Linked DNA regions of Astyanax mexicanus. The protein of the gene in region 2 interacts with the protein of the main gene of each other region in a pairwise test. Links are inferred from orthologs where the notes say so. Each region holds a gene or a part of one and is shown on either strand. Other genes may lie near its edges.

The links. The genes of interacting proteins can lie anywhere in the genome.
Region 1: the proteins of sf1 (region 2) and fam168a interact in binary tests that used the Homo sapiens proteins (3 or more experiments, as listed by UniProt). The two-hybrid records come from large-scale screens. The link is inferred for Astyanax mexicanus from reciprocal best matches to the Homo sapiens genes SF1 and FAM168A.

The regions. Positions count from the first base shown.
Region 1 is NC_064416.1:5,958,994-5,962,749, reverse strand, and holds the start of fam168a (protein FAM168A), read left to right. Parts: upstream 1-1,399; 5' UTR 1,400-1,610; intron 1,611-3,756.
Region 2 is NC_064415.1:16,236,596-16,240,351, forward strand, and holds the start of sf1 (splicing factor 1), read left to right. Parts: upstream 1-1,165; 5' UTR 1,166-1,338; coding exon 1,339-1,579; intron 1,580-2,604; coding exon 2,605-2,727; intron 2,728-3,756. UniProt on the Homo sapiens protein: Necessary for the ATP-dependent first step of spliceosome assembly. Binds to the intron branch point sequence (BPS) 5'-UACUAAC-3' of the pre-mRNA. May act as transcription repressor.

The DNA.
Region 1 (3,756 bases), on a different chromosome or scaffold from region 2:
CAGTGTGAACTGTCTATCAAAATATATGGAAATAGGCCAAATATGGCATGAAAAGAAAAATAGTAAATACAGTAAAATATGTTGGAGGTTGTTTTGCTGCATCTGGTACTGGTAAATTAATATTATTATATTTTTTTATTTTTTATTGTTTATTCTTTAAATGTCTAATCACCATCAGAAAGCCTGTAACTATTTTAACTAGTTTAACTGGGTTTATTCTTTTTCTTATCATTTCAATTTTTTATTATTCTTTCTATTTATTTATTTATTTATTTATTTATTTTCTTAGGATCTAAGTTCACTATTGTTTATTTGCTGTTTCTCTTTTCTAACTCTTATCATTTGATTTTATCATTTACTTTTTTGCTATTATTATTTTTTTTTTCTTTATTTTAAATTTTATAATTTCTTTACTTTTTTGTTTTCTTTTTTTTTTAGGGGTCATTTTATTTAGGTTACCCTCTTGTATATTATATGTTTATACATTTAATTTATCTAGAATAAATATATTTATTCAAACTGTGTATTTATTATATTTAGAATTTTTTTTATTATTTCTAATTTCTTATCTAATGTTTTAAATCAGTTTTATATTGTAATTGTAAATGAGGGTCACCCTCAATGTACTAATGTACTCCTGAGTTAAAATAAATTACTCTTCTTAGTTTATTTCATCATTTACTTTTTACTATTTTTATTTGTTCTGTATTTTATCTTAATTTTATGAATTCTTAAATTTTTGTGAGTTCATTTTTAAGTGTTTTTTATATTTCACTCTTTTTTATATGTATATATTTTTATTAATCTATATTAAATATATTTATTTATTTTTTTCCTTTATTTTATTCTTTTTTTCTTATGTAATATTTTAAATCAGTTTTATACTATAATTGCGAATGAAGGTGCTCAATGTACTCCCGAGCTAAAATAAATGTTGAATGATTGATTCATTAATTGATTAATTGATTGATTGACTGATTAAATAATGAAACCATTTGCATTTTAATATGACTTAAACATTTATTATTTAAATATGTATTTCCACCCTTCAACCGCTAGAGTGCGTCTGTTGATCAAAGAAAATATGTCCTAAAATATAAATTATAGCGCCTCCTAGCGATTAGAGTTGGAAATAAATCTCAGTAAACGCTCAGCCAGGCTTTGCAGCATTCTGGGATTTGTAGTCCTTTAAGACCCCTGCAGTGTGAGTCCCGCCCCTCGCTCCTGATTGGACGCTGCTGGCTCTGTTTTTTTTGGAGCTACTGGTGTTGCGGTGCGTCAAATACGCATACATTCACTCACTCCTCCTCCTCCCTCCCTCCCTCCCTCTCTCTCTCTCTCTTTCCTTCTTTTGTGCCCCCCTAGCACCCTCCCACCCCTCGGTATCTGCCCCATCCCCCACTCTCTCCCTCTCTCTCTCTCTCTCTCTCTCTCTCTCTCTCTCTCTCTCTCTCTCTCTCTCTTGTATTTTCATCCTGCCTGCGTAAAAAAGGAAAGAGCAGCAGCAGCAGCAGCAGTCAGACTGCCGGATCTACAGCTACATAAAGCCTTCAGACCCGGAGCTACAAAGAAACCAGAGGCATCTAAACACCCAGGATCTGCCCAAACTGGTGAGTTTTAACCTCCACGCTGCTGTTTTCACTTTTTCCAGCTTTCTTTCTTTGCATGAACCCTCCCTTTCCAGCTGTCCATCCAGGAGAAAGAGAGAAAGAGAGAGGCTGGTTTGTTGGTTGGTGCTTGGTGGTTGGTTGGTGCTCCTCAATCCATGGCATCCAAAGCCATGGTAGGTACAGTAGGCATGGAGGCAAGGTGAGTTATGAAACACATATATAGCTACAGTAGCATCTTAGCTAGCTAGCATCATTATTGCTTATCATTGTTTAGCTATAAACTTGTGCGACTAGCTAATCTACAGGATGTATGGAATTGCTATTTTATGGATATATAAGGGATACATAATGCCACACTCCATTGGGCAAACCAAGAATAGCATCCCAAAATGGTGTCGGACAGGCTTTGAATGTGACCAGCTTTTCTATATATAACCTAAAATGATCATAAAGAACCAACACCAGGTCCAGATCTTCATTCTATACAGGAGAAAGAGAGAGAGATGGAGGGAAATAAAGCAAGAGAGAGAAAGAGAGATGCTGGTTTGTTGGTTGGTGTTTGGTGGTTGGTTGGTGCTCCTCAATCCATGGCATCCAAAGCCATGGTAGGTACAGTAGGCATGAAGGCAAGGTGAGTTATGAAACACATATATAGCTACAGTAGCATCTTAGCTAGCTAGCATCATTATTGCTTATCATTGTTTAGCTATAAACTTGTGCGACTAGCTAATCTACAGGATGTATGGAATTGCTATTTTATGGATATATAAGGGATACATAATGCCACAATCCATTGGGCAAACCAAGAATAGCATCCCAAAATGGTGTCGGACAGGCTTTGAATGTGACCAGCTTTTCTATATATAACCTAAAATGATCATAAAGAACCAACACCAGGTCTAGATCTTCATTCTATACAGGAGAAAGAGAGAGAGATGGAGGGAAATAAAGCAAGAGAGAGAAAGAGAGATGCTGGTTTGTTGGTTGGTGTTTGGTGGTTGGTTGGTGCTCCTCAATCCATGGCATCCAAAGCCATGGTAGGTACAGTAGGCATGGAGGCAAGGTGAGTTATGAAACACATATATAGCTACAGTAGCATCTTAGCTAGCTAGCATCATTATTGCTTATCATTGTTTAGCTATAAACTTGTGCGACTAGCTAATCTACAGGATGTATGGAATTGCTATTTTATGGATATATAAGGGATACATAATGCCACAATCCATTGGGCAAACCAAGAATAGCATCCCAAAATGGTGTCAGACAGGCTTTTAATGTGACCAGCTTTTCTATGTATAACCAGATATGATCATGAAGACCCACCACCAGGTCCAGATCTCCATTCGGGCCAGGAGAAAGAGAGAGAGGTGGTGGGAAAGAAAGCAAGAGAGAGAAAGAAAGAGAGAGAGGCTGGATCATTGGTTAGTGCTTGGGTAGTTTGGGGCTCCTCAATCCATGGCATCCAAAGCCATGGTACGTACTGTAGGCTGGAGGGAAGGTGTGTTATGAAACACATAGTTACCCTAGCATCCTAACTAGTTAGCATTCTTGGGTATTGCTTTCTAGCCTGCTAGCGAGCTAGCTAGTTAGCCATATTAGCCTAGCCTATACTATCTATAAGGATGTGAGGCACCCATGCACTCCATCCATACACCATGCTAATAATGCTCCACACCATTGGGCATAGCAAGCATAGCATCCCAAAATGGTGCCCAGCTTTTTTTATATAACCAAACATGACCATAAAGACCCACCACCAGGACCAGATCCTCATTCTGTCCAGGAAAAATAAAAAAGAGAGAATAAGAGAGGCTTTAGTTGTTGGTTGGTGCTCCTCAAACCATGGTACCCAAGCCATGAGTTATAAAACCCGTAGCTATCTTGCTTACCCTTACTTAGCTTGCTAAATCAGTCTTCGAATATATATGATGTATGAAGTTGCTATTTCATGGATATATGAGGATTTGAGATACCCAAAGAGGATGCCCTCCTTAACTCATTCACTCCATCCACTATGCTAATAATGCCTCACTTCACTGCGCCAACCAAACATAGTATTCCAAAATGCCAGATCTTCAATCTGACCAGAAGAAAAGAGATAGAAAGTGATAGAGCAAAGAAAAGAAAAAAGGAGAGAGTTTTTGGT
Region 2 (3,756 bases):
CTTTATTTCGGAATGCTTTATATGCTTCTGGACTAGACCTTAGTGTAGAAGGTCAAACTGTTGTATGTGTATTAATCATTTTACCAATTTGGCTCCACTGTAATTCGTTATAGTTTAATGGTTATAATAATATTGTTTTTTAGCAATGTAAACTTCGTGTAGCTACTGCCCAGAAGTTCAGAATATGGATTATATTTTACGTTTTATTTATATTGAAATATGGATAGAAAATTTGATTCTCTTCATTTTTTATATTTTGCAATGTCACTTTTTGGAGATTGAACTGTTTATTTTACATATTTAACTAAGGACAACATGTGTAGAGATTAATCTGTGTACAAATGAATCAAACATATGACTATAAATCCAATTATTATGATCTTACTTTATTATCAATTATGCTTATGTGTTAAGAAGGAAACTGTGATTAATTGCAATTAATCACAGCATATAACATATTGTGTGACCAATCAAAAGTTTGGAACACCTTATTATTTGTAGTTTTTCTTTATTCATTTATTTAATGTATTTTCTACACTGTATATTAATATTAAAGACATGAAAACAAACTAAACCTGATCGACTGAGCTTCACAGTGTGAAGGAAAGTACCTCCAGGAACTCCTTCAGGACACTAAGAAAACTATTCTAGGTGACTGCCTCGTGAAGACACTGAGATTAATACCAAGAGTGTGCAGATCTGTCCTCAAAGCTACTTTAAAAGAATCTAAATTATATAAAAAACATATTCTGGTTTGTTTAACACTTTTTTGTTTATAAAATAATACTGCATGTTCCTGCATGGCTTCTTCAATATTAAATATACAATTTTAAAAAATCATAAAAAGAAAGAAAGCACATTGAAGGAGAAGAGGTGTGTCCAAATTTATGGCTGGTACTCCCTGATCTATCTCCCATATCCTCCAGTAATGATTTTGTTGAATCTGTATATAAGGTAGATCCGTATGATTACCAGATCCGGTAAAATGAGCCGCCGTTTTATCTATGCTTTTCCCAATGGAGATTATGGAGCGTGTGGCATCCAATCATAGTTCTGTAAAATCTCAAGGCGGGAGGAGTGCGTCCAATGAGAATCGAAAGCGCGGTGATTGACGCCCCGTCGGACCAATTGCTGCTATTATACGGAGACCCTGAACCTCCTTTGTCCACCTCAACCGACGCCATCTTGACCGAGCATCGGTTAGGGAAGGTTGTACGGGTTGTGAGGGCGGCGCTCGGGTTCGTTTATTTTAGAAATAATAAAAGAATAAGAAATAAAGTTGATCAGAATCGAGGAGAAGCGGATAGAAGAGAGGGGCTGCAGGTAAAACTCTCAGAAATGGCAACGGGAGCGAACGCCACCCCGCTGGGGAAGCTGCACCCGAGCATCGGCGCTAAGCGGGGTTTCGACGCGGGGCCGGGCACGGGGTTAATGACTCCGCCGGGGCCTCCGGTCTCCTTCCCCATGCAGAACTTTCCGCAGCCGCAGATGCCCAGTTTACCTTTTCCGCAGTTCCCCGGAGTTCCCGGAGCTGGGTTTGCGAATCCGGCTGCAGTGGGTTTGCAGTCCCAGGGTGGAGGTACAGTATTACTGTGTGTGTGTGTGACTGTGTGTGTGGATCTGCGGGGCTATTAGCCTTTAGCTAAAGATGCTAATAGCTTTAACACTCCAGAACATTCTGAACCTTATGTTAGCTATATCTGCGCAGTCGACTCTAGTCTTTAACTTTAGCTAACCCTACCTAGTGTAACACTTTTAAACCTCAGGAAGGCCTGTGAAGAGATCTGAGGCCTTTTAGGACTACAATATTCAGCTGCTCTCTACCTGAAGCATGGCTGCGGGCTAGAAAAAAGCACAGGCCCATGCTGCTCGATTCCTCACCACAGTAGCTTAGGTAAGCTAAGCTAGGTGTGTACGATACCGTATCGTGAGCAATAATATCGTGAAAAAATAGATATCTTAATAACGCGATATTATTAAAAGAAGCCTTGTTTTGTTTTGTAGCTAGTAGATTTTTGCTCTAACATTAGTGTATTTGCGTTTGCTTACATACACTGCCTGCCACCCGCTGCATAAAGCTTTCTCCAGCACATCCCAAAGATTCACAATGAAATTAAGGTCTGGACTCTGTGGTAAACAATCCATGTGTAAAAATGATCATCTCTTGTTCCCTGAAACACTCTTTCAAAATTCCAGCCCCATGAATCCCCTGTGCCACCAGGGAAGAAAAAAAATCCATTGATGGAAGAACCTGGTCTATTTTCATACACTGTTGCTGAACCCCACAACATTTACTTAGTTGAACCCAGATGGGGACTTTTCTTTTGGCCAGGCAGTGTATTTTATTTAGTTACACTATCTTTAAAGAATTTAACCCTTTTAGACCTGAATTATCTCCAGTGGTTGGGGGAAATGTAAGACTGTTTTTTTGTCTGTAATGCAGACAACAACAAAATCAATTGCATTTGGGAAATGATCACAGAATCACACTGTAACTAAACATGAAACCATGACTTGTGTCTAGACTGTGTTGTTATGAATGCCACATGTATACATCTCTATGCAGTAGTACTAGTCATTTATAATACAACACTCTCATAATAGATCAGAAGAAAAGGAAAAAGAGCCGCTGGAGCAGTGAGACTCCTGATCAGAAGACCGTTATCCCCGGCATGCCCACGGTCATCCCTCCAGGGCTCACCCGTGAACAAGAGCGAGCTTATATAGGTAATTCAGTCCCATTTTCTCTTCTTATCTACATATTTTGGTTGGTGAACACTATCTGAAATGGTTTTTACTCCCCTCCACAGCCCAACAGCCCCCTTTTTCGTTTTAATTTTTCCAGTCCAACAACTTGTGTGCCCATTGCTTCATAACAATTTGCACATCATGCAGAGGACGTGGTCGACAAAATCCTTAATAGAAATGATTCACCGAGTTGCTCAGACATTATTGAACTTGCATGCCAAAATGTTGCCACCAATATTTGACCAGCAAAAAATCCTGTGTTTTCAGATACAGAATTTTCCCAGTAAAATTCCTTAGTGTGTGAGCATACTTGGCATGTTTCAAACACTAATCCAAGGTTTTTTATTTGTCATCTGAAAGTCTGTAAATTAAAACCCAGATATCTATTATGGGTATTTTCCAATTCTAATTGCATGAAAGGTGCAGAGTTGGTTCTTATACTGCTGAATTGTTTGCGTAATTGTCACAGCTTGTGTTCCATCAGACATCTATAATCAATTACCCACAGTCTCTCTCTGATGTTGCTGCTTGTTGTGAATTGTCTTCTGGCTGCAGGATATCATCACTGCTCATGTTAACTATGAAAAGTGTCTTAACCAGTCAGATTGGAAAAAGAGCAGGCAATGCAGGCCTAACATGAATTGCAGTCATCTTCATTACCAGTGTCCTGAATGTGCTGTGTAACGCGGTCAGTGTCCCCATTCCCGCCAGGTGCTTGCTCTCAAGTGGCATGTGGTTTAGTTGTTTTCAAAACCTCATGTGACTAATGCATCTTGTTCACTGGTGTTCTATATCCTGAGTCACTTAATAAACATTTCTTCAACTTGGGCCACTTGACTAATTTGATACATGGGGTGCAGTATTGCATTAATCTTCCTACCTCTAAAGGTACAAAATAAAAATGTGCTCAAATACAAGTGGTTAAAAGATTATTTCAGAGTGGTGGTCACAAAATCTGCTCTACCTTGCTGCAGAGTTTGGCTGTTAACCCAAACTACCCCAACCAAT